Linked DNA regions of Saccharomyces cerevisiae S288C. The gene in region 2 interacts genetically with the main gene of each other region. Each region holds a gene or a part of one and is shown on either strand. Other genes may lie near its edges. The genes, in order: GAD1, UGA1 and UGA2.

Evidence for each region.
Region 1: mutations in UGA1 (region 2) and GAD1 impair growth when combined (synthetic growth defect), as found in Saccharomyces cerevisiae (2 studies listed by BioGRID, with this or other methods).
Region 3: mutations in UGA1 (region 2) and UGA2 are lethal when combined (synthetic lethality), as found in Saccharomyces cerevisiae (one study listed by BioGRID).

The regions. Positions count from the first base shown.
Region 1 is NC_001145.3:766,108-777,383, reverse strand, and holds GAD1 (glutamate decarboxylase GAD1), read right to left. Parts: upstream 6,584-11,276; coding exon 4,826-6,583; downstream 1-4,825. Other genes in the region: YMR253C (uncharacterized protein), read left to right, coding at 194-1,438; MLO1 (Mlo1p), read left to right, coding at 1,665-2,069; HOR7 (Hor7p), read right to left, coding at 2,453-2,632; GTO3 (omega-class glutathione transferase), read right to left, coding at 3,369-4,469; YMR247W-A (uncharacterized protein), read right to left, coding at 7,958-8,101; ubiquitin-protein ligase RKR1, read left to right, coding at 9,345-11,276.
Region 2 is NC_001139.9:523,533-534,420, forward strand, and holds UGA1 (4-aminobutyrate transaminase), read left to right. Parts: upstream 1-1,696; coding exon 1,697-3,112; downstream 3,113-10,888. Other genes in the region: YGR017W (uncharacterized protein), read left to right, coding at 255-1,148; YGR018C (uncharacterized protein), read right to left, coding at 833-1,162; VMA7 (H(+)-transporting V1 sector ATPase subunit F), read right to left, coding at 3,441-3,797; post-initiation translation factor DPC29, read left to right, coding at 4,100-4,972; MTL1 (Mtl1p), read left to right, coding at 5,732-7,387; THG1 (tRNA guanylyltransferase), read right to left, coding at 8,351-9,064; YGR025W (uncharacterized protein), read left to right, coding at 9,107-9,409; YGR026W (uncharacterized protein), read left to right, coding at 9,453-10,289; 40S ribosomal protein eS25 RPS25A, read right to left, coding at 10,600-10,888. UniProt on the Saccharomyces cerevisiae protein: Required for the degradation of gamma-aminobutyric acid (GABA), which is important for utilization of GABA as nitrogen source and for oxidative stress tolerance.
Region 3 is NC_001134.8:245,093-253,315, reverse strand, and holds UGA2 (succinate-semialdehyde dehydrogenase (NAD(P)(+))), read right to left. Parts: upstream 6,307-8,223; coding exon 4,813-6,306; downstream 1-4,812. Other genes in the region: FLR1 (Flr1p), read left to right, coding at 1-753; DSF2 (Dsf2p), read left to right, coding at 2,300-4,510; RCR1 (Rcr1p), read right to left, coding at 6,769-7,410; GPI-anchor transamidase GPI18, read left to right, coding at 7,649-8,223. UniProt on the Saccharomyces cerevisiae protein: Catalyzes the oxidation of succinate semialdehyde to succinate. Can utilize both NAD(+) or NADP(+) as a coenzyme, but has a 2.5-fold lower activity with NADP(+) than with NAD(+).

The DNA.
Region 1 (11,276 bases), on a different chromosome or scaffold from region 2:
TCCAAAGATCGCAGAATGGTGCGAATGGTAGTTGGATATTTTGGACAAAGATGTGGAATTGGAAAGCGAGATGTTCTTTGATCTACTTTAGAATTTTTCTTATTTCAGTAAAATTCCTTTTTTTTCCTTCTTAAGTTTTCGTAGGCATGAATTTGTTGTTGCTGTGGTGAAGAAAATAGATAGAGATAAGAAAATGAATCCATCAGTACCGAAGGTTATGAAAAGAGAAAACAATACACACCTACTAGTTTCTAAAGAAATGAATGATACGAGTTTGCAACTACCGTCTACTACGAGATCACTTTCACCGAAAGAGTCAAACAGCAATGAAGACTTTAACGTCGATGGCAACGAAACAACGCTGCAAAGAATAAGTAAAGATTATTTGAAACCAAATATTGGGCTTGTTCTCTTGACAGTATCATATTTCTTCAACTCGGCCATGGTGGTGTCTACTAAAGTCTTAGAAAACGACCCCGATGATATTGCCAATGATAGACAGATCAAGCCATTGCAAATCTTATTAGTTAGAATGGTAATAACATATATTGGTACATTGATATACATGTATATTAATAAGAGCACAATTTCGGATGTACCATTTGGTAAACCTGAAGTACGCAAATGGTTAGTATTGAGAGGTTGCACTGGATTTTTCGGTGTCTTTGGAATGTATTATTCGTTAATGTACTTGACGATTAGTGATGCCGTTTTGATCACTTTTTTGGCACCATCACTAACAATATTCCTGTCGTGGGTTATCCTGAGGGAAAGATTCACCAAAGTGGAAGCGCTCGGTTCGCTGATCTCATTGCTGGGCGTGGTGTTAATTGTAAGGCCTTCATTTTTATTTGGAACTCCCGAATTGACCGACTCTTCCTCTCAAATAGTAGAATCATCGGACCCAAAATCGAGATTGATTGCCACTTTGGTTGGGTTGTGGGGTGTTTTAGGGATGAGTTGCGTCTACATCATTATTCGTTATATTGGTAAGAGGGCTCACGCTATAATGAGTGTGAGTTATTTTTCTTTGATCACAGCGATAGTGTCTTTCATTGGGATTAACACTATCCCTTCAATGAAATTCCAGATACCACATTCCAAAAAACAATGGATACTGTTTGGTAATCTGGGTGTGTCCGGCTTTATCTTCCAGCTGCTATTAACTATGGGTATCCAAAGAGAACGTGCTGGAAGAGGGTCTTTGATGACATACACACAACTACTATATGCGGTTTTCTGGGACGTTGCACTGTACAAGCATTGGCCAAATATCTGGTCGTGGATTGGTATGATAATCATCATAAGTGCCACGTTGTGGGTAATAAGGATAAGGGCGGCAAACAATGAAACAACTGCCAAGGACCTAACCCCAATAATTGACGACGAAGAGAACTCTATTCCCCTGACAGAGTTTGACCTATCCGATTCTAAATAAGACGAGTATAAAATTCCTCAGTTTCTACTATGATTTTTTTCCTTCTTTTCTTTTTTTTTTGTGTCATGTTGAAATGCGCAGTCCGAGGAAGCAAGGACACGAAACAAGAGAACAATAGGGAAAGTGGGGTACACGAGCATTCAGAAAACAAAACAAAAGGATCATCGCGTCGTTCAGCAAGTACCATATAAGCAGCAAAACGAAGAAGATCGAGTGTGAAGTGTTAATGTTTGGTAAAGTTTTCGTAAGCTACATCAGAACAAGAATTGGGTTCAAACCTTTAAGCACGATATACACGCCTGTTTCTTCTTCTTCGCTCAGCTTCGATAAGGAGGCATGTTTCCCCTTTAAAAAATGGCACGAACTGAATATGTCCCAGAAGCAAGAGTTTATTCAGCGTTTTGTCAAAAACTACAGGCACCAATACCCAAGTTCTAAGACCAATGTTTCGCTGAAGGGGCTGAGTATTGGCATGGACGAGCACAATGACTCGCCATCTGTGTTCGGCATATTTTATAACGATATCTGGAAATCGTTTAAGAACGAGCAATTAGGAACTAACAATGATAATATGAAATCGGGTAGTAGGTTCAGTCACCCCAGCTTTAAACAATTGTTAATACAGAAGTGATTGCTTCCGTTTCCCAATTTTTCGCTTCCCTCCGCCGCGCACACCGTTTCTTCCGATCATTTTAGATATTCATTCAATAGTTGCTTATTTTTGGGTTCTTTAGAGGAAAAAATTTTCGATTAAAATTACTTAATATTATATTGTTATATATATAAACTTGAAAGAAATTACTTTTTTTTTTGTATTCGTTTTTTTTTTTTCATTATTCACCGGAAAAGGTGAAAACTTATTACTATATTGCACACCGAGAGAAAATCATCGGAAAAATGTGGCCAATGGATTAACAATGACACATATCGCCAATAAAGGTGACTTTGGATTGTTCTTTCTACACCCGATTAACCACTCTTTCTCTTTCAATGTATTCCAAACAAAGTCTAAATTTAAATCAAAAAGGCCAAAGCACCAGCTAGAGCAACACCAGCGGCGCCTGCAACCTTACCGTTGTTTAAACCGGCAATTGGTTGGGCAGCATTCTTTGAGCTTGAGCTGTTAGAACTGTTAGCAGCACTTACTAAACCAGTGAAGGCGACGGCGGAAACAACAACTTGAGATAACTTCATTTTTTATTATTAGTCTTTTTTTTTTTTGACAATATCTGTATGATTTGATAGTCCTCTGCAATAAAAGTTAAGACGTCCCAGAAACTGTCACATAGTGAGCAACAATTTCTCCCTTTTATATGATTGAAAAACAACTCCCAGCTAGCCATAGTTTTTTTCCGCTTGCTAATTCTCTCATCGAAAGTTACATCCCTTATCACTATGTTCTCCGGCGCAGCCTGCAGCAACCACTGGCCGAAAACAGAAAGGGGCTTACCCAAATAGGAAGAAGTAGAGCTCCGCCGATAAACTGCGCCTCCCTATTGGGAAACGGGCGCCGCGGCGGCGCTAGCAAAAATGCGCTTATTATTCTATTATCGAGACTGTAGCCCCTGTTCTAGAATTGTCACGAAGGAACCGTTTCCGAGCCACGGTGCCGTTACCACTGTGAGATACACACAAGTCACAGCCATGGAGATGTCCAGCACCATTTAGTCATAGTGCGGTTGCTTCAACGGGATAGGAATAAAAGGAAGATATGAAAGGAAGAAATCGTGCGGGGAGAGGAGGGGTCCCGGGTCCGGACCGCGAAGGGAAAAGAAAGTGAATGACTTCTTAGCCCCCATCCCCCTTACAAGCGTGCTCCTTTTCCTTCCAAGTAGGTATCGCTTTGCTCTTTATGGTTTTTCCGTAGTGTATTTTTATGACGCAGTCTATGTGATGTGTGTGCGTGCTAATCGAAAGAAAAAAAAAAATTTCATGGAGGTCGGATATCAGGCTTGGGCCCCAGTGGGGTGATCCCAATCGGGTTGACCCGTGGCTGCGAGCGAGTATATCCGAGTTTTATGTGGGTAAAGTCCGTTGTGCGCTGGAAGGCTTCGTGGCGCCAGTATATATTCTTGAGCCACGTGTGTATACGGGAATAATCATCTCTGATGGTGGCCAGATTGCATTTGAAGTGTTGATGGTATACCACGTCGAACCTTACTATCGTTGGGTAGAGTCTCACGTCCGCCTCGGTCAGAGTGTCTCCGATGGCAAAGTAGCGATCTAGTATCTTGTCCTTGTTGTTCTTACCATACTCCGCCTCCAAATCTGTGTACTTCTTGTCCAGAAGATTTTCCAATTTGTCAAGATATTGAAAAAGGCTTGTTACCTCCCTCTCGTATACCTCTGCACATTCTGCAAAACCGGCCTTGTATACACCGTTGTTGATTTTATCGTACACCCAAGAGTTGAACTCTGTAATCTGTGCCTCTAGAGACCGAGGTACCAGACGGACTTGACGGTATTCTTCGCCGACAAACTCATCAAACGCAGCGGAATTCATAATTCCGATGATATCACTGCTTTCATTGTTTACTATAGTGCATGTTTCCAAGTCCCAAAGAACAGGTACGGTGAATCTTCCCTTATAGTCTGGCTTTGTTTTGAAATAGAAGTCGCTTAGTCTCTTGTACCCGTAATGCGGTTCATCTGTTCCGTCGACCAACAACCGATGCGCGTTATTGGGTATGTTAGCCACAGGAGTACTGGTATTTAAATTTACTGAGCTAATTCCGCCTGCAATGTCAAACCAGTGCCTTTCATTGGTTTTCCCATCTCCTTCTTCAAGGAATCGCCAGCCTTTGTCATCCAGGTGCCAATGCGCTACACTGCACCCGATTATAGGCGCTAGCCCTTTCAGGGCCCTGGTGATCAAGGTTCTTTGTGCCCATGGGCATGGTAGCGCCACATACAGCCAGTACCTTCCCTTAGCAGGTTTATAAATTGGGTGATCCGCAGAGATGATTTCTCTGAATGGCGATGACTGCCTTTTGAATTCAGCTTTGTTATTGCTAGCTGATTTTTCAGACATAGCTCCAGCTTTGCCGTGGTTGCAAGAGAGAGATGGAATAAGATTGAAATAAAAGACAATATATTTAAAGGCGCTGCGATGTTCTATAACCACAATTTATACAACTATATATACGTATTCCCGCATAACTTTTCTATCACTGTCCAGGCTGAATCCTCGTCGCTGTCCCTTTAGTCATCTTCCCTTAAATATCATTTCGGCGCTTAAAAGCTTGAAAAAGAAAGTAATAGTAAAAAAAAAAAAAAAAAAAGACAAAACCCGTGCCTTCACATAACCTAACTAAACAGCACTAGTACTTAAATAAAAGGTAAAGGTACATACATATAGGGGGCGGTATATTGGATGACCTTTTCAACTCAACATGTTCCTCTATAGTTTCTCGTTGTTGTTTCCTTTAGCTTATTTTTCTTTTCGATTTCATCCGGCGTTGGGATGTCATCTTGTGGAGATGCCAATGCCAGCAACATTTCGTAGATGAACGAACTCTTGCGCTCTGGAGTTTGCTCAGAGGCAAGTTCTATATGATGACAAACCTTTTCGTAACTATGAATCAACTTTGTCAAGATACTCTCGATGTCAACGATCAACAACTGTGCTAAATCCAACTTCATCTCCGATCTGAAAACCACTCTTAATACCTCCTTCTCATCGGATCCATCCGTTGCCTTTGGTAGTGGGTAATTTGGTATTATCCAACCCCTACCTCTCAGTAAAGAGGAAAGGATTGCTTGTGGCACTTCTGGATATTCTTCGTGGAATTTCTTGGACAATTTGAAGGCTACCAGCGGTACACCTGGTTTGTAAGCCTGGGGGTGTTCCCAATAGTCTTTAACTGACTTAGGGGCGGAATCGTTCTCAATGCTTTCATGGATACTGCTAACAATTTCAAAGCATCCGGGCAATTTTGACGAATTCAATAATTCGAAAGAAAACGCTCTTGCAACAAATAGAGAATTTTGGAATTGTGTTCTATACCCTGAATGGCCTAGAGAAACAAAATTGAAGTATTGATGGACAACTTGAAATCCAGGTCTTGAAAAATTCAAACCGAAAGTTTCTTCCACGCCACCGAGGTACTTTAGTTTGAATCTCAATTCATCAGCCAGTAAGGATTCATCTCTCCATAGCACCCAACCCAGACCGGGAGTGGTTAAGCCAAACTTATGACCACTAGTGTTCATACTAACCACACGCGGATGGTTGAACCCCCAACGTTCCATGCCATAAGCTTTCATGTGCTCTTTTTCAAAGCCAAATGGGATAATAAACCCACCTGAAGCGCCATCCGCATGGATTGGAATATCAGTATTGCTCCAATCAGGATGCTTGGCCTCAATTTGGGACAAGACATCTGCAACTTTCTCTACATTTTCCAAATGGCCAGTGTAGGTGGTTCCTAAAATTACAAAACAGCCAATAGTGTTCTCATCTACATAATCCCATAACGACTCTGGGTCAAGCATATGATGGCTTCTGTGGGATACCGGAACCAATCGGCATTCCACTTCAAAATATCTCGTAAACTTCTCTAATGCCACTTGGCACGCAGAAGACATTATAATGTTCGGCTTGGAAGCATCTTTACCAGCATTCTTCATTCTGTGTTCCCATCTTTTTTTCATGGCGAGTCCACCCAACATGATTGCCTCACTAGAACCTGTGGTGGCACAGCCTATTGGTTCTTCATCGGGATTAGCGTGCCATAATTGAGCTAGCATAGAAATACAACGCTGAGTTAGCTCAATTAATTGCGGATATTCATCATTGTCAGCAAGATTTTTGGTCAAATTTTCATCAATCAATTTCCTTGCCTGATCAGTGGTAAAAGTGTTCACGAAACTGGCAAGGTTCAAATGCGGATTACCATCAAGTGTTAATTCATTATGAATCAGTTGGTAAGACAAATCAGCAGGTAGTCCCTTTTTTGGAACTGAATACTTATTAGCCATGCCCTGAGACGAAGTATCTCTCATATTGTTCGATCCTTGATGACCACTTTGGACAGCGGATTTTTGAACGTCGTTAGAAAGCAATTGCAGACCTGCAAGGTCGTGGACAACTTTTCCAGCGATATTCTCGAAGTTCTTCTGCTTAGAACCGTGCCTGTGTAACATTATTCCTTGTTTTGTTCAGCCTGGATTGTTAAGAGCGACGTGTAATATCTTGAAACATTTTAGCATCGCCAAAAGGTGAGATTTCAGAGAGTGCGTTGCAGTTCAGTGGTCAATTATGCTCTCTTATATATGTATTTATGTTGCATCACTTTACTGATCCCCTTTTTCTGGTGTGCCGCACGATCTATCCCTTTTCCTTATAGAGTTCAACCTTGCTGTTAAGGGTGAAAAAAAAAAAATAGTAAAATAATGAATTTCTAATTCACTCTGATGAACTTAATAATCACAAGAATGCCTAAATTGACGTGTATTTATATGCTGCTCTTATGCAACTCTTGCTCTTAATTTGTCTAACTTGCCAGAAAGATTATTTATAAACGCAGTGAACAAGAATTTGAACAGCCCATATACTATGAACTTCTTTACTTTCACACGTTGTACATTTGCTATCGCAAATGAGATGATTTGATTATTTGAAAAATGTCAAGAACCAACTAGAATTTACCAGCATCAGCGCCTAGGAACCCGGGAAGGTACACTCTTCTAAACGAGACTGAGCATCACTGTTACTCGAGATACTTCCAAGAAAACAAAGTATAAACGGCAACCTGCGTGATAAAAACTATCTGAACACGTAGATGCGGCTACATATATAGAAAGTCAGCAGTTGATTCCGGAAGAATCCAGAGTACTATATGGTAGACTGGATTTATCTGTCCATATTTGCGGGCTTGATATTCGGATAGCATTGAGGCAGAGACAATATACAGTTTTTGGGTTAATTCTTGGCCTTGTGCTATAGCTAGCACGTCGTCGAATCCTAAGACCTTGTTTGAAAAGAATCGTCCAAAATGGGAGAACTGGCGCCAATGAATAAACCAGACGAAGGTATCACGAACATGTGCCAAAGCTTGTACCGGTACCAAATTATGCGAATGTCAGTCAGTAACAATGTCAGACCCTACTATCAACCCAGATGTAGCTCAAGTGGAACCTACTGTTCTCTCAAGCTTTTTAATAGAAACGCTCATAGAATATCATAGAGAGTTCAATAATAGCGGTATCATAGTTTATCTGATAACGTGCAAACTGTCCTGATCATGAAGCGGAGTTGAATGACAGGGTGATGGAATTGATGGCTAGTTGCTTTCGTATGCCTCGGTATAGGCATGCTAATGACACCCTAGGGTGGCTATTAGTATGTTGCAATGCCGAGAGGAGGTTGAATAACAATACCATTACATCAGCCGATAATATAGTGCATTGTATCAGCAAAATTAAGCAGTCAATTTATTTTTTTATCATTTAATGGCGATGGTTGGATAATTGTCTAAGAACAGTATTGAGTATTGCAATAAACCACTAAGGTTAGCCTCACGGCCAAACTATGTTGGTATCACTGTTACTAACAAGGTGGTTGTGTACGTGAAGGCAGATTGGCCTCAGAAGGCTCTTACCATTAAATAACAAGGCCATTATTCCACTCAATAGCTTGGCACTTGCACATTTGTGTGCCATTTACACTGAATGATTCATCTTTTTGATATCATGCAATATAATAATACAGGTGATAGAATGCGAAAAGCACGGGAAATAGGTGACTTTTGAGATAGTTGTTGAATACCATTTCCATAACAATACAATTTGGACAACATTATCTTATACCGAATATACCTTAAGTTTTACTCGAAAATATAGGAATCCATAAAAGGATCGATGATTCTTCATAATAATATTATGGTTTCTCGTTCCACTTTATATGTTGTCACTCATTATCCTATTGCATTATCAAGTCGTGCGTTCCACCCCCATTAAATTTGATGGCAGCTTTTAAATCTTTACCTTTATGCCATATTTCTACGTCGTATATGTAATAAGATGGATGCTAGACTATAGGGGGTAGGTGGTTCCTCTTCCGACATGTAGAGAATGTGGATTTTGATGTAATTGTTGGGATTCCATTGTGATTAAGGCTATAATATTAGGTATGTAGATATACTAGAAGTTCTCCTCGAGGATTTAGGAATCCATAAAAGGGAATCTGCAATTCTACACAATTCTATAAATATTATTATCATCGTTTTATATGTTAATATTCATTGATCCTATTACATTATCAATCCTTGCGTTTCAGCTTCCACTAATTTAGATGACTATTTCTCATCATTTGCGTCATCTTCTAACACCGTATATGATAATATACTAGTAACGTAAATACTAGTTAGTAGATGATAGTTGATTTTTATTCCAACACGACAATCATGAGTAATTACTTGATAGTGGATAGTAAGTTTTGATAGACACTTCCATTTTAAACTGATTTCACTTTTTACAGTGGCTAGAAATTACAATAAGAAATGGGCGTGTGGCGTAGTCGGTAGCGCGCTCCCTTAGCATGGGAGAGGTCTCCGGTTCGATTCCGGACTCGTCCAAATTTTTTGCTACTTTGCAATTAGTGTAACTTCATATTTAAAATTATAGTTAATCAAGAACAGAATATCGTCACAATGCTCTTTAAATGTTACGTACTTCTTACCTCCAGCTTGACTATATACTTGTCAATTCGAGTTAACCCAGATTATGCCCCAACATGGAAAACTGAAAAATATTGATGAAGCGAGGAAAAAAAACGTCATAGGAAAAATTCAAATGTTGCAACTTCAGATGGTTTTCTTCAATATATACAATACTGAAGAAGTCCTTCTTAATAGTTCAAATCTGCTAAGCCATCAAAAAAAGTTCAAGCAATAGTTGGTTCTTAATGTCGTTTGGTGGAATCAATACATTTCAACAGTATAACACAGATTTAGGGCTCGGCCATAATGGTGTTAGAATATCCTTAAACTACTTTGATGGTTTGCCGGATCCAAGTCTTTTAAACTCCTTGTACTCGAACGAGCTGAAACTCATTTTCAAATCTCTTCTGAAAAGAGATGAAACTACAAAAGAAAAAGCTTTAATGGATCTTTCCAATTTGATCAGCGACTTTAACCAGAATGAGTACTTTTTCAATGACATTTTTCTTCTTTGTTGGTCGCAGATATATGCTAAACTGATAATTAGTGATTACAAGGTCATCAGACTGCAATCACATCAAATTACTATAATGCTTGTCAAAAGCCTTCGGAAGAAAATATCGAAGTTTTTAAAGGATTTTATACCTTTGATACTTCTCGGTACATGCGAACTCGATTATAGTGTTTCCAAACCTTCTCTTAATGAATTAACAGAGTGTTTCAACAAAGACCCAGCAAAAATTAACGCCTTATGGGCTGTTTTTCAAGAACAACTATTGAATTTAGTAAAGGAGATTGTTGTAAACGAGAATGAAGATACCATTTCTGATGAACGTTACTCCAGTAAAGAAGAATCTGAGTTTAGATACCACAGAGTTATAGCAAGTGCCGTATTGCTGCTGATTAAGCTTTTTGTTCATAACAAAGACGTCTCAGAACGTAATTCTTCCAGTCTTAAGGTGATTCTTTCTGATGAGTCAATCTGGAAACTACTTAACTTAAAAAATGGGCAAAATACAAATGCCTACGAAACAGTTCTTCGATTGATTGATGTTCTTTATACAAGAGGTTACATGCCTTCCCACAAAAATATAATGAAGTTAGCGGTGAAAAAACTATTGAAATCGTTGACTCATATTACGTCAAAGAATATTCTAAAAGTATGCCCTGTTCTCCCATCAATACTGAACCTTTTAGCTACCTTGGATGACTATGAAGATGGGACAATATGGTCATACGATAAATCTTCTAAAGAAAAAGTACTCAAATTTTTATCGGTTTCCCGTACTTCACCATCGCCAGGATTTTTCAATGCTGTGTTTGCATTGTACAGCTCGACTAAAAGACACAGTTTTCTTGATTATTATCTTGAATGGCTTCCATTTTGGCAAAAATCGGTGCAAAGACTGAATGAAAAGGGCTTTTCTGCGAGAAACAGCGCTGAGGTTCTTAATGAGTTTTGGACAAATTTTTTGAAGTTCGCTGAGGATTCATCAGAAGAAAGAGTGAAAAAAATGGTGGAAAGTGAGATTTTTAACTCTCTGTCTTGCGGGAAATCTTTATCTGAGTACACAAAACTGAACCAGACTCTTAGTGGCGTCTTTCCACCCGATAAATGGGAGAGAGAGATTGAAGATTACTTCACTTCAGACGAAGACATAAGAAAAATAAAGGTGAGCTTTGAGAAGAATCTTTTTGCTTTATTGGTTACTTCTCCTAATAACGAATCCGCAATTAGTCGTTTATTCGATTTTTTTGTGCAATTAATCGAAACAGATCCCTCAAATGTTTTCAACAAATACGACGGTGTATATGATGCTCTCAATTACTTTTTAGATTCAGATATGATTTTCTTGAATGGGAAGATAGGGAAATTTATAAACGAAATTCCAACGTTGGTCCAAGAATCAACATATCAAAACTTTGCTGGTATCATGGCACAGTACTCAAACTCCAAATTTTTCAAAATGAATACTGACGCGATTACTTCGTTGGAAGACTTTTTTATCGTTGCGCTTTCTTTTAACTTACCAAAGACAATAATTTTAGCCACAATGAATGAGTTGGACAATGATATTTATCAACAATTAATGAAATCAGATTCCCTAGAATTAGAATTGTACATTGAAGACTTTATGAAAAATTATAAGTTTGACGACAGTGGGGAAATATTTAAA
Region 2 (10,888 bases):
CGCAGCATTTGGAAAACAATTGATGTGAGTAATTTAGAACAAAATATACGGCAGTAATCTCCCAAATTTGCGATACTACCACAATTCAAGATCGTGCGCGAGAGTAAGTCGAGCACGGTGCTGTATATTTTCATACATTATACATTCGAGGACCTTTCACCAAACAAGAGGAACTTAGCTGATACTAAACGAAGATTAGAAAAAGAGCAAAAAAAAACAAAAAAAGAACCACCGAAACATTAAAAGTGGGAATAATGTCGCATCAAATGGCGCCATGGATACCCATGTTTATTCAATCGTGCAAAAATAACACTGAACCGTTTGTATCATTTCAATTTGCTACTGTTGACGAACTAACGAACAAACCACGTTGTAGAACGGTAGTGTTCAGAGATTTTTTATTTCATGACAAAAGAACTAATGTGTTGACTTTTAACACTGATATGAGGAGCTCAAAGATAACTGAATCATTTATAACTCCAAATTCAAATAACTCTAGCGACAGCAAAAGATGTGAGACTCCATTTTTCGAAGCATGTTTCTATTTCCCGGAAACTTGGGAGCAGTATCGCTTCAGTGGCCAATGCTTTACAATATCTAAACAATTTAAGAAAATACCGGCTGAGATTGTAACCAAGTATGACATATTTTCACCGCGGTTTTCAGAGACAAATGATGACAGCACTGACGAAGAAATAGATACTCCAATTAACGACGACGACGACGACGATAAAAATAATGACGCCGACAATAATGACATTAACGAAGATAACAAACTTATAGAATCCATAGAGAACGATGAACACCATGAGGATGAAGACGACTACTACCCTCAACCACAAGAATGGGAGGCTGAATTACTAAGACAATGGTCCTCTCTATCAAGGCATACCAAGTCATTGTATAGGAAGCCAGCCCCGGGCCAGAAACTTACCTCTGAAACTAGCAAACAACTGGACAAACTCCATAGAGGAGTTGACGGTGCTAAAGAGGACGCTGGACTGGAAAACTTTGGTATTGTCTGTCTTTGTGTTGATTCTGTTGATTTTTTGAACTTGAAAGAGGGAAGAGGTGGTGAAAGATGGATTTTCCAGAAAACCGACGGCAAAGACGAAGATCTGTGGGAGGAACAAGAAGTGTGTCCGTGAGAAATGTCAATCATTATTGCTAACGTTCGCGATGGTTAATGCTTTGTATTCGCGCTATCTCGATTTCTACCTATATAGTTAATCTCTGTACAAAAACAATCTTTCCAACTATCCATTAATCATAGTATATTATCAGCGTCGGCGATTTTACCACGCTTGACAAAAGCCGCGGGCGGGATTCCTGTGGGTAGTGGCACCGGCAGTTAATCTAATCAAAGGCGCTTGAAGGAAGAGATAGATAATAGAACAAAGCAATCGCCGCTTTGGACGGCAAATATGTTTATCCATTGGTGCGGTGATTGGATATGATTTGTCTCCAGTAGTATAAGCAAGCGCCAGATCTGTTTACTGTAAAATTAAGTGAGTAATCTCGCGGGATGTAATGATTTAAGGGAATCTGGTTCAGGTTTTCACATATATTTGTATATAAGGCCATTTGTAATTTCAATAGTTTTAGGATTTTTCCTTCTCCCAAAATACTCACTTACTGTGTTACATTACAGAAAGAACAGACAAGAAACCGTCAATAAGAAATATAACTAAGAACAATGTCTATTTGTGAACAATACTACCCAGAAGAGCCAACCAAACCAACTGTTAAGACCGAGTCCATTCCTGGTCCTGAATCCCAGAAGCAGTTAAAGGAACTGGGTGAAGTTTTTGACACAAGACCAGCATATTTTTTGGCTGATTATGAGAAATCTTTAGGTAACTATATCACTGATGTGGATGGGAACACATATTTGGATTTGTATGCCCAAATCTCTTCAATTGCACTTGGTTATAACAACCCTGCTTTGATCAAGGCAGCACAATCACCAGAAATGATCCGTGCTTTGGTCGACCGTCCTGCCTTAGGTAACTTCCCATCTAAGGATTTAGACAAGATATTGAAGCAAATATTGAAATCTGCGCCAAAGGGTCAAGATCACGTCTGGTCAGGGCTTTCCGGTGCAGATGCCAATGAATTAGCGTTCAAGGCTGCCTTTATTTATTACCGTGCCAAACAAAGGGGCTATGATGCCGATTTTTCTGAAAAGGAAAACTTGTCTGTCATGGACAATGACGCCCCTGGCGCCCCTCATCTTGCCGTACTATCGTTCAAGAGAGCGTTCCACGGTAGATTGTTTGCCTCCGGTTCCACAACTTGTTCTAAACCAATTCACAAGTTGGATTTCCCAGCCTTCCACTGGCCTCATGCTGAGTATCCATCTTACCAATACCCATTAGATGAAAATTCTGATGCAAACCGTAAAGAGGATGACCATTGCTTGGCCATTGTTGAAGAATTAATCAAAACCTGGTCTATTCCAGTTGCTGCCTTAATCATCGAACCAATTCAATCTGAGGGAGGTGATAACCACGCTTCTAAGTATTTCTTACAAAAGCTAAGAGACATTACCTTGAAGTATAACGTTGTCTACATCATAGATGAAGTGCAAACAGGTGTCGGAGCCACCGGTAAGCTATGGTGTCATGAGTACGCCGATATTCAACCACCTGTGGATTTAGTGACCTTTTCCAAGAAATTCCAAAGTGCAGGATATTTCTTCCACGACCCTAAATTCATTCCAAACAAACCATACAGACAATTCAACACATGGTGTGGTGAACCTGCAAGAATGATCATTGCAGGTGCCATTGGACAGGAAATCTCCGACAAGAAGTTGACTGAACAATGTTCAAGAGTAGGTGATTATTTGTTCAAGAAATTGGAGGGTTTGCAGAAGAAATACCCTGAAAACTTTCAAAACTTGAGAGGTAAAGGAAGAGGCACATTCATTGCCTGGGATTTGCCTACTGGTGAGAAGAGAGACTTACTATTGAAGAAATTGAAGTTGAATGGTTGCAACGTTGGTGGATGTGCAGTCCATGCAGTGAGATTAAGACCTTCATTAACATTCGAGGAGAAGCATGCTGATATCTTTATTGAAGCATTAGCCAAATCAGTTAATGAATTATGATTGTATATTAGCGAGGCCGTGTCACGTTCCCTTTTTTGGTCTTTATATATGTGTATCTTGTTATAATTTTAAAGAAAAGTTTTATATTACTCATCAGTTGTGTGTGAAAAATATGGGCGGGTATTCACAATAGGAAAAAAAAAATGGGTTTGGTGACTGCAGTAAAGACGTGCTAAAAAAAAAAAAGTTGTTTTTATCTGAACCTTAAATATATCATTTATGAGTGTATATATTATACAAACGCAATAACAGTGGCTCCCGCCCTCCACCTCCGCCTGCTACTAGTAATCTACCAGTAATTGTGTTTGTTTTGGGAAAGATCGTTCGCTTACTCACCGAACAACTTTCTGACTCTCTTCAATACAGAGTCCTTTTCAGGGTCGTAGGGATGATCTTTAGATGGAATTTCTAAAATAGCAGGGAACGCATTGGTGAAGGAGTCCACTCTAGCTCTTATGTTTTCCGCGATATGTTGGTTGATTAGAAGGATGGCAATATCGTCTCTCTCTTCAGTAAAGTGATTAAACTTGTCAGTGATTTCCTCCTTAGTAGTCTTACCTTCTTGGTAAACAAAAAAGTTCTTTTCTTGGGTTTCAGGAGTGATTTGTCCAATCCCGGCTAACAATAAACCAGTTGTAGTATCTTCGTCAGCTATCACAGCTATAAGAGTACGTTTCTCAGCCATGATTTAGTTACTATGCGTCAGTGAGACTAGCTATGAATATAGAAATGTAGTGCTCTATTTTCTTAATTCTTTGTCAACTCGATATAATAAATGTAGTGCTTGCAATTCACGTTGGTTTTCCTGTTATCGTTCGCCTTTATTTTTTTTTTTTCTTTCGTTTTCCTACTTCCCTTTACCGGCGTAAGCGCAGTGAAATTTTTTTAGTACGCACGTACGCAAGTTTCAGCAGCAATAAGGGGAAAGATGATGATAATAACTAAGAAAAACAGCAAACTTGGTATGAACGCATCAAAAATTGGAAAATGTTGGTAAGAAATAGGTATCTGGGTGAACTGCTCAAAAACTCTCGATCGTTTAGTGTGCTGAATTCCTCGGTACGTTCAGGTCACAACAAATGGTCAACCATCAAGCACGGTAAAGCCAAGAATGATGCGGAACGAAACAAAATTAATAACAAGTTTGCAAACCAGATAGCAATGTCAGTCAAGTTAGGCAACGGTATTACGGATCCGAGCATGAATATAAGATTAGCCACCAGCATCGAGCTAGCAAATAAAAACAATGTCAGCAAAAAAGTTATTGAGAACGCCATCCGGAAAGCTTCTGGAAGCAGCGCATCGGGCAAGGACTCAAACGCTTCTGAGCTATGTGTATACGAGGGAATGGGGCCCGGCGGGGTCGCTATAGTGGTGGAAGCGCTGACAGACAACAAGAACAGGACCATAGGTCTGATAAGGAGTGCATTTAATAAAGCTAATGGATCGATGACTCCAACGTTGTTTTTCTTCGACAAAAAAGGATACGTTACAATGGTACCTCCGAAGATGTTAGACACTGAGGACAAGGTGCTAGAAAGCGTACTGGAGATTCAAGGCATCGAAGACATTGCGCCTGTGCAGGAAGACGCAGAAGATTTAGAGTGTGATACCGAAACTGAAACTACAGGCCAAACTTACGAGGCGGTGATGGAACCTGCCGATACCAATAAGGTGGCCGCCCTACTGAAGGAGCGTGGTTTCCACATCAGAGACTTGGGCATCGGCTACAATGCCAAGCCGGATATGGAAGTTTTCGTGCAAGGCGATGAAACGCTCGAGAAACTACAGAAACTGACCACAGCGCTCGAGGACATCGACGAAGTGACGTCGTTGTACACTAACGCTAGCAACGCTTAATCCAACCAAACCGTAAATAAATAATCAATACCACAAATACCTGTATATACTAAACAAACAGTAGTAATAACTGTAATAAAGAGTAAAAACAACAACAAAGACAATCGTACGTAAAAACACCAAGCGGACACCAGCACTTGCCTGCTGCGGACTGTTGTCTGCGGACTGGCGGGGGTCGAGCAAGAACCGACGAAGTAACCGACGGAAGGCGGGCGGAGACGGAGACGCAGCCGAGATCTATTTTTACTCAGCGGTAATATTAGATCATGGCTAGGGGGATCTGGAAGTACAATGATGTGCTCTCCCCCTCTCAAACACAACACCAGGATGAACTAAGGGCTCATCTCGAAAGTCGAAGGTGCCTCATTCAGGTTATTAGTGGTGCCTGTTGTGTCTTCCATGAACAAGGAGCACTTAATTACTTGTTGTTGCATGAGATATCATTTTTTTTTTTCCCTCTTTCTTGGGGTCTTGACAGTCATCAAATCGAAGTTTTTAGTTTTTCTTCTTCGGGAAGATCAATTTTAGGTAGAAAAGTGTAGATGAAAAACGAAGGATACTGCTATTTACTGTAAGTACTCTTCGGTCCATATTGGAAGACCAAGGCATAATAAGGATATATTCCGAGGAGATAATTGGGATATAATCCTCCATTGCTTCCGAAATTTGTTTAAACACTTCTAGTTCATTTCGGGTTGGTTCGATCTTCGTTTCCACTTTTAACTTACTCCCAGTTAGTATAATATAAGTAGTTAAGGTATGGCAAGCTGCAATCCGACCAGGAAGAAGAGCTCTGCTTCAAGCCTATCTATGTGGAGAACGATTCTCATGGCGTTAACAACACTACCGCTAAGTGTTCTTTCGCAGGAGTTGGTTCCAGCTAATAGCACAACATCGAGCACAGCTCCTTCCATCACTTCGCTTTCCGCAGTTGAGTCATTTACGTCCAGTACCGATGCAACGAGCAGCGCAAGTTTATCAACGCCGAGTATAGCTTCAGTATCCTTTACTTCCTTCCCACAAAGTTCTTCACTGCTTACTCTTTCGTCAACATTATCCTCAGAACTTTCCTCTTCGTCCATGCAAGTTTCGTCGTCTTCAACATCGTCGTCTTCTTCGGAGGTTACGTCATCATCGTCATCATCATCAATATCTCCTTCCTCTTCATCATCAACAATAATATCATCGTCATCATCACTGCCGACATTCACTGTGGCATCAACATCTTCGACAGTTGCCTCCTCCACACTTTCCACTAGCTCATCGTTGGTTATCTCTACGTCTTCGTCAACGTTTACGTTTAGTTCGGAAAGTTCAAGCTCTTTGATTTCCTCTTCAATTTCAACATCCGTTTCGACTTCTTCAGTGTACGTTCCCTCCTCTTCAACTTCATCTCCACCTTCGTCCTCATCCGAATTGACATCATCCTCGTACTCATCATCCTCATCCTCATCCACCCTCTTTTCCTACTCCTCCTCATTTTCATCATCCTCATCCTCATCATCCTCATCATCATCCTCATCCTCATCATCATCATCATCATCATCATCATATTTCACCCTCTCCACATCTTCCTCTTCATCCATATACTCGTCTTCGTCATATCCTTCATTTTCATCTTCATCTTCCTCAAACCCTACCTCATCAATCACTTCTACATCCGCCTCATCTTCTATTACTCCCGCTTCCGAATATTCCAATTTGGCAAAAACCATAACTAGTATAATAGAAGGCCAGACCATCCTCTCTAACTACTATACCACAATAACGTATTCACCGACAGCATCCGCATCTTCAGGAAAAAATTCACATCACTCAGGCTTATCAAAAAAGAATCGTAATATTATCATCGGTTGTGTGGTTGGCATAGGTGCCCCCCTCATCCTAATTCTACTAATATTGATTTACATGTTTTGTGTTCAGCCTAAAAAAACGGATTTCATTGACTCTGACGGTAAAATTGTCACAGCTTATCGTAGTAACATTTTCACCAAAATATGGTATTTCTTGCTGGGTAAAAAAATTGGTGAAACAGAAAGATTCAGCTCAGATTCCCCCATCGGCAGCAATAATATTCAGAATTTTGGTGATATCGATCCAGAAGATATACTTAACAATGACAACCCCTACACCCCTAAACACACTAATGTTGAAGGCTACGACGACGACGACGACGACGACGCTAATGATGAAAACCTATCATCCAACTTCCATAACAGAGGCATAGATGATCAATACTCACCTACTAAATCTGCATCATATTCAATGTCGAATAGTAATAGTCAAGATTACAACGACGCAGATGAAGTAATGCACGATGAAAACATTCATCGTGTTTATGATGACAGCGAAGCTAGCATCGACGAGAACTATTACACGAAACCAAACAACGGCTTAAATATCACGAACTATTAAATCATAGCGAAAGCAGCTTTGCCATAACTTTTCTTCTTAAAATCACCCTCGGTCATTTCGTTCTTCTTTTTCCGATTCAATTCCTAATAATTTATGCATATTACAGAACTTTTTTTTCCCTTTTTCTGTCACAGGTTTCCCAATTTTTTTGACGACTAAATAATAACATAACCACTACGTTCACTTCCCCGTATATATACATATATACTTAATATTATAAACGCATATACTTTTATAAACTTGGAATAAGTATTATATATTTATTTTGACCATCCGGAAATGCTTTATTTTACACTTGGAAAGAAAAGTGCATTTGGAAAACTTTTACATGTCACCCAAGTGCATACTGCTGACGATACAGGTTTAGAGACTAAAGAGAGCGCATGGAAGAAAACTTCAAAGGAAGAGAAGAAGGATCGCAGAGTTCAAAGGAACTCTTAATTTGGGCCCATCTTTTGAAAATATTGTCTCTGCAAAAGCTTCGAACACCATTTTGGATCCTCTGGAGAAGGCAAGACAGAATGCAGAGGAAGCTAAGAAATTACCTTGTTAGCTTAAGGTTCCTGTTCCTAAGGGTAGCGGTCACCACAAATGGAAAAGCGACTTTCCCAATGTAATTATTTTTGTTTGTTCCGCAAGTATCTAACAATATGATATATTGCTAGTTGAAAATCGAACACTCGAGTTACTTCCGTGATAGTTTAATGGTCAGAATGGGCGCTTGTCGCGTGCCAGATCGGGGTTCAATTCCCCGTCGCGGAGATATTTTTTATCATCACAAAAATAAGATAGCAAAACTGAAGAAACGATGAGTTAGTTTTAACTTTTAAAAGATCGTCCAATATTAACATAAAGGAACCCAGTTCTTTGGAAATAACAGGAAAGTGCAGAAAGTTCATTAGAAATCAACGATGATCTGATATACATATATATATATATATATATATATATATATAAAGGTTATTAATAGCCTTCGAACAACTCATCTATCTGTGCGATGACGTTAATATGAAGTATTTCTCCTTTTCTTGTTACTAGTGAACCCTTTTTAAACATTTCAGGTTCATTATTGTAGTTTATCCCACATTCAGAAAATAGTATTTCCTGTTTCTCATTACTAAATGTTCCACATAGTTTCTTCTCGGATTCCTGGGGAGTTAAGCCACACTTTATTATTAACTGCCAAAACGTCGTATTATAAAGATTGTTTATATGTGTATCGACATATCTCCAGGATAAATAATCTTTTATCGTTTGTAAATTAGGGTATGCTACACACCTTGAATCGAAATATGGCAAATGCTTGATATTCAACGGCTTTTCTGGGAAAAACTTGGCCCATAATGCGACGTAATTGGACGTGAAAAAAGAACCAAATAAAGTCGCAAGCTTGTCTTTCCTTCTGTTAAATAAAGTTGTACTTGACTTCAAAATAAATGAGTATTCGTCACTCTCCCCGAACGCCAATATAATATCATTTTTGTACTTGAGGACAAGGTTCTTAGCACATGCATTCATTAACTTCAAAGCATTTTCATCGTTTGGCTTGGCAAACTCGTAGAACTTGGAAAATTCATGAAACTTCTTGCCGTCTATTCTTACCACAATATAACACTGAGGCAAAATAACATCGTGTGTTTCAAATTGCCTTACGTATCCAAATTTAGAGTTTGCCATCCCGCTCGCATTAGGAAGTAGAATCTTTGAACATTAAGGCACATGACTGGCTATGAGCCCTTTAAGTTTTTCTCTATCCGCATGTCTTCAATTAATTCTCCATCAGTGATTTTTAAAACAATAAAAACTTTCAATCCGGGTAAAACTGAAGAATATAGAGCGAAAAAAGCGTATGTGCAGGACAAGGGATACTTACGCCAAAAAAGACCATGTCCATTTTATTATAGGATACCCACTTGCACGGCGTCAAAGTACTCAATTGGCTGTGCTTCTTCAAAAAAACTAACATACACAAGAACCAAATTTAAATTCAACTTGGTTACCCAAAGAGAGAATTCATTATAGAAAGATATAAAAATTTTGTAGAAAAAAAACAACAACGTTGGAAATGGCGAAGACTATCAAAGTTATCAGGAAGAAGGACCCCAAAAAGAAGAACCTATCCGATCCTTTAGCAAAACAAAAACTAGTTTGGAAAATCGGACACGTTTTAACTTTAGTTTTTGGTTTATTATTTTCTATCACGTATTTCTACCATGTCCTAATCTTCTTCAAATATCGTTCCTGGAAGTGGTTGTTCTTAAGGGTCAATAAAAATTACTCGTTTATTCAAAGTAAGAGATGGTACATGAAACTTTTGAGTTGGAGCCCACAGGTAATGTACCGTTTGTCATTAATTGGCGTATTTATGTCTGAGTCCGTCACAATGCAACAGAACTGGGTTGGACTTAACCCTACTTGGAATGACCTTTTGTCCTCTGAGAACTTTCATACCCTTTTGATTGCCTGTTTATGGTTCTTTGGTGGTGGTAAGTCTTTTTACAAGATTTTGCCTTACATGATTTTAAGTTATCTACACCTAACTAAAATGAACTACGAATTGAATGCTAACAAAGAAGAAAAGATCCCTTTAACACCCAAAGACAGAAAAATGCTACACTTACTTGCGTACTCTGAATTACTTGTTATCTTAGCGCTAACACTAGACACTATATTGTTTAAGACGGGTACATCCGGATTTATGCTCGTCATTTATGTTGGTATTTATTGGTTGAGGTTGAACTTCTCTCCATACGCACAAGTGGCTGTTTTGGAGTTACTTGTCAAGTTTGAAAAATACGTCCCCAAAAAATATAGAGACAAATGGCAGGTTATAAAGAACTTTATTTATATGAAAATGAAGGAGCACGAAAAGAGAACAGAAGAAGTTGCCAGATACGCGTAAGAAATTCTCTAACTTAAGATGACCAGATGTCATGTTCGTTTACTTATTTTCCTCTCCTCTTACCTTTTTTGGCCACTAACGCTCGTACAGAAATGGACGGCATACATACAATTTAATCAATTCTCTTAAATACCGTTTTATACCTCATTTCTGACTTTTCAGCCGTTAATGTTCCTTTTTTTTTTAGACTATTGTATGTATCACTTCCTGAATGATGTCTTCCATAACACAAACGTGACGTGCAAATAAACATACATAAAAATATTATTGAAAATACAGATTATTTAAAATTATATAACCCGTTCCCTGTTTATTCAGAAGCAGTAGCTCTGGTGTAGATAGCTTGCTTGGAGTGCTTGGAGATTGGCTTGATGATACCTTCCTTTTCCAAGTGTCTCAAAGCAATTCTAGCTAAAGAACCACCAATCTTTAATCTGTCGACCAAAACAGAGACAGAAACGTATCTGTAAGTTGGAACTTCCTTCAAGATTCTGTCGTACTTCTCTTGGTCTAAAATGACAGCGTGTTGAGCTCTGTCTTTCATGGACTTTTTGGACCACTTCTTCTTAGACTTCTTACCACCAGCAAGGGCAGCAGCG
Region 3 (8,223 bases), on a different chromosome or scaffold from region 2:
AAAGAAACTGGTGATGACAGGTACTATACTGAACAGGATAAACTCGATAGAGAAGTTGATGCAAGAACTTTTTTGATCAATACTTTGTATAGGCCTCTCAAAATGATTATCAAAGAGCCTGCAATTTTGGCTTTTGATCTCTATATCGCTGTTGCTTATGGTTGTTTCTACTTATTCTTTGAAGCATTCCCTATTGTATTTGTAGGTATATACCACTTCAGCTTAGTTGAAGTTGGCTTGGCCTATATGGGGTTTTGCGTAGGGTGCGTACTTGCTTATGGCTTATTCGGTATTTTAAACATGAGGATTATTGTACCACGTTTTAGAAACGGCACATTCACCCCGGAAGCTTTTTTAATCGTGGCAATGTGTGTCTGCTGGTGCCTGCCTCTGTCTTTGTTCTTATTTGGTTGGACTGCTCGAGTGCATTGGATTTTGCCAGTTATCTCGGAAGTTTTTTTTGTTTTAGCTGTCTTTAACATTTTCCAAGCAACTTTTGCATATTTGGCTACATGCTACCCAAAGTATGTTGCATCCGTTTTTGCAGGCAATGGTTTTTGTCGGGCTTCGTTTGCCTGTGCTTTTCCGTTGTTTGGTAGAGCAATGTATGACAATTTAGCTACTAAGAACTATCCTGTGGCATGGGGTTCGTCCTTAGTGGGGTTCCTAACTTTAGGTCTAGCTATTATCCCGTTTATACTTTATAAGTATGGGCCATCATTACGTACAAGATCTTCGTACACAGAGGAGTAGAAAGCCGATGTTCTTACCATGAAAATTTGAATTATAATAACACAATTTTACTTATCGTCCATCTGTCGACAAAGATGTTCCACATAAGTTTACGTAAAGTTTAGCAGTGAAATAAATACTGTTCATAATGAACTTCATTGTTTATAAAAGTTGTTGTTGCAAGTATTCTCATGTTTATTTATCGCAGACTTGAAATCTTTGAAGGAAGATCTAAGGTCTACACACTATCGGTTACTTTGTGACCCTTTGCTTACCATACGGATGAAAAAAGAAAGAGGAATTACTTGAGCCACAATATCCTTCACTCATATTTGAAAATAGTACTTACTAAAGAAATATGCAACCATTTATACACGTAAGAAGTTCAATTATCAAATAGAAATTAAGCAAAATACTCAATTGAATACAGAGCAAAAGGATTAGCCATACGTTCTAGCACATTTTATGGGCCTAAGACATCATTTCCAGTTAACAGATAATATATTTCTACATAAAAACTTGGCTGTTCCACTGTCAAAGCCAAAAAGAGTCATTTGGTCATGAGAGTAGCTATGTTTCTACGACGAATCGAAAAAAAATGCATACTATTGATATCAAAATCATGCAGAAGGAACACATATTCATATATAACTAATCAGAGGATAAATCCTCTTGCGAATAAAAAGTTTGCGATGTTCTGATGCTTCAGGATTTCCTCTTAATAAATTCATATTTGAAGAGCCAAAGAACCAAAAGAATTGTACAAATTTTCTTCATCTATGAGAGGCCTAAAGGTTCGGGTTTGCTGCTATGTATCCTTGCTAAATTTTGATTATATTATGGCATTTATCGCTATTGCGTTTGCTTGCTGTTGCGCAAAAAATAATACAAAATACCTGATAATGTAAACAACGTAAATAATACAGGAAGTGATGCAAGAGAAGCTGCACAAAACTGCAGCATGCCTCACTTCGAAAAAAAAAAAAAAAAGAAGGAAGTCAGAAGAAGCAAGCCGATCTAAGACAGCTATTACCTCTAACAAGTAAGTCATAGATCAGAACGGCAATACCAGCCAGTGTACAATACAGCTGCATTACAACATAGCGTTTCTTGAACTTTTAGGTGACTGCTGGAAAAAATGAACGCGTCTCATATCGTGTGCGATGGCAACACCGGATCCCTGCGCTCAGAACATTCCGTGGACACCCACTGTCACTTCTTCGAGCCCCACCATTCCTTTACGCAGCCTGCGTGTGTTTCTGCGCGTTAAAACAATTATCACAGAAGGCTCCGGACGAAGAGCGGCAGAAAGAACAACGGTGCAACCGTCGTTGAATTTGATTATCAAATCACCTTATCTGCCATCGTGTTCTAGTAGTCTTCCATTGTATTACCACGGACATTCAAAAATAGTTCTTCTTTAGCAACTCTTTTTTTCTGTTGCCATTGCTCTTTGCGATAGCACATTCTGTTCCTCAATGCTAAATATAGGTGGAACTTGTAGGAGCCTCGAGAAAAAACAGAAAATCTAGAAAAACAAACGGACTTTTACGTCACACGAAAAGTAATGAATCAAAATTTAAAAAACACTTCTTGGGCTGATCGAATAGGAAGCGACGATCAAGAAAGAAAAGCTAACTCTTCAGAGGTTTCACAAAGCCCACCACCCAATAATAGCTTCGAGTCATCAATGGATTCACAATTTAGCTATGCTCATTCAAATAAAAGTAGCATTTCATTCGAATCTATTCAAACCACGGAAAGACTTCTTGACAAATTAGACCTCAGCTTGGAAGATGAACTGATTCTGCAAGAAGCTTTATTAGAAGAAGAAAACGCGTCGAGAAATTCGCAACTGTCACAAACAAGTGGTCCAACATTATGTATGCCTGCGTCGGAATTCCCTTCATTAAGGTATAGAACTAATCCCTCTCCAACATATATACAAGCTAGAGATCGTTCTCTTATCATAGACAATTTAAAAGAAAAGGATTCCACTTTGAGAGGCAAATACTCTTCCGGTAAAGTGGAAAGGCATTTGCCCGTGAAGTCGAGATACTCTTATATCGTCGAAGAAGATTATGACTCTGAGACTTTTAGTGGCATGAAACCCCAAATGAATAGAAATGAGAAAGATTATAAGTACCCAAACCTTGAAAATGGCAATAGAAGCACAAATAGCCCTAATCCTTTCAACTTCGAGAAATATAGGATTGAAAATACTAGACTGCACCATCTTTATCCTACGCTGATATCAGACAATAATACTAGCGTTGACAATAATGCTAATAGTAAGAATAACAGAACTACTAGTAATAATATTAATACATCTACAAAAACTGACAGAATATCCGAGAAGCAGAGTTGCCCCAATGAGTTCACAACCACGCAAAAGAGTAATTGTCTTTATCGGAACGGAAGTTCAACAAGCACCAACACCTCCTTTTCTGAAGTTGGACAACTATCAAAGCCGAAAACTCAGTCTTCTTTTGAAAGTGAATCATCCTCATTCTCCAAACTCAAGTTAACTAAGAGTGATACAACACCCATCAAACCATCTCCTAAACGGTCTAATTCCTCTACCTCGACGATAACGAAAACAAATACCATGACAAATGATATTTCATTACCTCCAACGCCACCATATAAAGCTCATAAAAAAAAAACGTCACTAAATTCGCTAAAAAAACTTTTTAAATCTCCTAGGACAAGAGCAAAAAATAAGAAAGACCTTGAGTCTGAAGGATCAAGCCCTATCCGGTCTGCCACCAATTCATTGGACTTCTCTGGGGAGAATATTCAACTTCCATCTACTTCAAGTACCATTAATAATTCCAGTCCACATTTAGCTAGGTATATTTTTCCTCCAAACCCAGTTTTCCATTTTAAAACAGCATCAACACCTCAGTCATCCACGGATAAAAAAAAGAACAGTAAAGCACGTCCAAATAGGACTCATTTGAGAACTTTCTCGGATTTCCATACAACGGAAAAAGATTCAAAAATAGGTGAACTAAGTGCACTAACAGAACAATCAAATAAGCCCTACCACCCGAAAGTTAGAAGAAGAACACTTTCTTTAGATGGTATGTTGCCCAATAATTCGACGCAATGCATGGATTCCTTCAGTCATAAAAAAGAAGGATCGAACGCAACAAGCAAGTGCGGGAAGCTTAAATTTCACCCAGAACCTTATGATAATGATGAATCTTCACACATCGGACAGGCAATTACTATGCGTCATCAAGGCAAACTTGAAGAATCTGCACAACGACTGAAAAAAGCCTGCGCGTGCGGAAACAAAACTGCGTTTCTGTTATATGGACTAGCCCTGCGACATGGCTGCGGAGTGGACAAGAACTTGAAATTATCATTAGGATATTTAATGGCTGCCACTGATATCAAATCCTTTGCTGCTGAGGTTCTTGATTTAGATATAAATCCGTTAAATTTTGCTTCAATGGACGATATCCCTGATATAGCGCCTGAACCAACAGCACCTGCCTTGTACGAATGTGGTATGGCATATTTAAAGGGTCTTGGGATGGATCATCCCGACGAGCGAAAAGGTTTGAAATTTTTGGAAAAAGCTGCTCTATTAGGCCATGTAGACTCAATGTGCTTAAGCGGGACAATTTGGTCCAAAACTTCAAACGTAAAGAAAAGGGATCTCGCCAGAGCTGCTGCATGGTTTAGGATAGCCGATAAAAAAGGTGCAAATCTATTAGGTTCAGATTGGATTTATAAGGAAAAGTACATGAAACAAGGTCCGAAATAAAGATAAAGAAACGTTGTATACATAAAAGCTTACAGAAAGGCTTAAAAGGAAAGGCATTTATTTTCGTACCATATATCTCACAAAAATAGATAGATAGATAGATATGATATTTTATGAATGGTATCACTTATTCCGCTTGTGAAAAACTTCAAAACTCCGTAAATATATGAACTCTTTTCTTTCAAAAAATTTACTTAACTTTCTATATACGAGGAGTAGAGTATTTATACATGCAATAGATATATACAATCATTACAAAGAATCATATTCAATTCTAAGTATCGTCCACGATTACTATTGCTTTAAATGCTGTTTGGCAAATTCCCAATTGTGATGGTCTTCAAAACAGTGTAATCTTCAATACCATATAGCGAACCTTCTCTTCCAAATCCTGACTCTTTAACACCACCAAATGGTATAGAACAATCCGAAAAAACACCTGTATTACATGAAACCATACCAGTTTCCAAAGCTTCAGACACAGTGTATAAAGTGTTGACATTTTTAGAAAAGACATATGCTGCTAAACCAAACTCAGTATCATTAGCATATCCGACAACTTCTTCCATAGTATCAAAAGAAAAGATTGGACATAATGGACCAAAAGTCTCCTCCTTGGAAACAATAGCTGTTGAGGGAACGTGTGACAAAATTACTGGAGCATAAAAGTTAGGACCTAACTCAGTTAAACGTCCACCTTCAAGCACAACTTTTGCTCCCTTATCAATGGCATCCTGTTTATGTCTTTCAACTTTTTCAATAGCGCTGGAGTTAATGACACAACCATGTGTAGTTTTTGGGTCCAAACCATGGCCAATTACGAATTTTTTGACCCTCTCCGCGAGTAATTTCGCAAATTTATCAATTATGGATGAGTGAACGTAAAGTCTATTTGCGCACACACATGTTTGACCCAAACCCCTAAATTTACAAGCCATGGCTTGTTCCAAGGCTTGATCCAAATCGGCATCCTCAAAGACTATGAAAGGGGCGTTACCACCCAGCTCAAAAGACAGTTTCTTCAAAGTAGAAGAAGATTGTTTCATCAAGATTTTACCGACGTTTGTAGAACCAGTAAAAGTAACTTTCTTGACTTTTGGTGATTCACATAATGTTTTACCAAGCTTTGGTGTGTTGGCATGTGAAAGAATAACATTAAACGAACCCTTGGGAAAGCCTGCCTTTTCAGCCAAATATGCCATTGCTAAAGCAGATAGCGGCGTTTGAGAGTCTGGCTTGATGACTACTGTGCAGCCCACAGCTAAAGCAGCGGCGGCCTTTCTCGTGATCATGGCGCTCGGAAAATTCCATGGACAAATTATACCGCATACACCAACAGGTTGCCTAATTGTGAATACTCTGTTGTGAGGGTTCAAGGGTTGAATAGTAGCACCATATAAACGGGGTGCTTCCTCGGCGTACCACTCAAAATACGAAGCCGCGTATTTGATTTCTCCTTTAGCTTCCCCTAGAGCTTTACCATTTTCTAAAGTAATGATGGTTGCCAGATCATCCAAATTTTCAAGCATTAAGTTATACATGTTTCTGAGCCACTTTGCCCTCTCTCTTGGTGTTGTATTCTTGTACGTCTTGAAAGTTTCATAGGCAACATCAATCGCTTCCTCAACCACGGAGACTGGTTGTTCGGGAACTCTTGCTATGATTTCGCCGGAAGCAGGGTCTACCACCTCAAAAACTTCGTCAGTGCCCTTAACCCATTTTCCGTCAATATAACCAGATTCTCTGAATAAATTAGGGTCGTTTAGAGTTGGTTTAGAATACTTACTCAAAGTCATGTTGAAATAGTAGTTTGTAAAATTTGCTTTTAATGTAGCTGGTTTTCTAGCTTAATTGATCAAATAAGAACAGAACAATAAAGGACGTTGCGAAATAATATCTATTGATCTCTGACGAGTATTTATACCCTATTTCCTCTCCATTACTGATGGTGATGTGATGTGATGTGGTGCTATCTTGTCACCCTTAATCCATTGGCCGCCTTTGCTAATCCCGCGCGCATTTTCCCTTTATCACCACCACGCCGTGCGATGGACTTGAAGTATTTACTATTGATAAAATAATACTGAGAGATTAAAGACAATGTACTGAATATAAACTATAGCACTTCAACGACCGCGGGCCTGAAGCGGATTAGGAATTAAAATAATTATTATAGAGATTGGGTAAAAAAATGTAAATATTTCTGGCAAAATATTGTAACTCAACTGTAAGAGGACAGCCGGAAAAAAAGATTCAGTTCATGACCTTGCATTTACCTTTGCCCTCTCCGGTGGGTTAATTTCCTGCGTTGTAGTCCCGCCCGGAAGCCTTTCCAATTGCTCCACCGTATCACTTACAGCTGGAACGCGCCCATTGCTAGGCCTTGTTAAACCGTAATCCGTATCTAAAGAGTTAGCTTGGTGAACTACAGCAGCGGGAGGTCTTTCTAAAGAATTAACAGATTCTGATGAACATTCTTGTACCAATGGCGGGGGGGCCACGTATGCAGCCTTATCGTTGGGGTGAAACTCGCCCCGCTGGTCATAGTATCCAAGATCATGTTCGTTCGCTGTTTCTGTATACTCAGGAACATAATCATCTGTCCGTTGCTGAACGGTCCCAGTATATTGTTGCTGAGACTGTCTGTATGAAGGCGGTGTCAACCATGCCGTACCTCTAATGGGAGCACGCCCCATCCTTCGTCTCCTTCTGTTCGCTACAAAAGTGAACAGTATTATAAGGATTACTGCGGCAACAAACAGCACAAACAAAATCCATATTCCTGACTGCCATGACGACGATGATGGCCCATAGTAACTAGTCACAAATTTGCTAACGTGATGGTTATCTGCCTTTTTCACCTCGTTTATCGCCTCATTTTCGTATGAAATAAGTCCCATTCCTTATTCTTAATTCGAGTTATACTTTCCTATTTATTGGAATGATCAATAAGCTATTACAGGTGCCTTTTCTGCATGAGCTTCCTGTCGGTCATTTAAATACTTAAAATAGAAAATCCCTTTTAAATCAAACTTTTTTTTTCAAGGCTTAGTTGAAAAAAAAAGTAAGCCTCATCATCGAAAAAAGACATAAAAGAGAGGCTTCGAGAGAGGAGGCGGAATAAGACTAAATTAAAATATGATTGTGGGGTTGACACTTTATTTTGTATTATTCCGTTCAATACAGTATTTACTGGTTTTTTTGACTCCAATTAGGCAGTTTGATACATCAACATCACTTTTATTAAACGAATTATGTTCTTCTCCCTCTGAAATCAACAGTTATTGGAACAAGTATTTTTGGAATAAGCTACTATCATGGGACAGTGTTTTTTTTATCAAGAACATAACTTCCAAAAACGGAAAACCTCAATTTGAGCATGAATACGCGTTTTCTCAGTTGTGGACTTTTTTCGTTAGGCTGTTTATTAAAAGTAATAACGATAGCATCTACCATGCCTTAAGGGTTGGAGTTGCAATAGAAAATGTTTTATTTTACTTGTCAGGTATTGTTTTATATTTTCTAACAAAAAAAATTTTCAGCCAAAATATAAGGCAATCACAGTTTGCTAGAACTATCGCTAAAAAAACATCTCTGTTGTTTTTCTTAACGAGTGCCGCTGGATTTTTAACAAGCATATATTCTGAACCATTATCTTTTTTTTTTGCATTTGTTGGTATTTGGAGTCGTGAATGCTCCATTTCCGTGCCCGT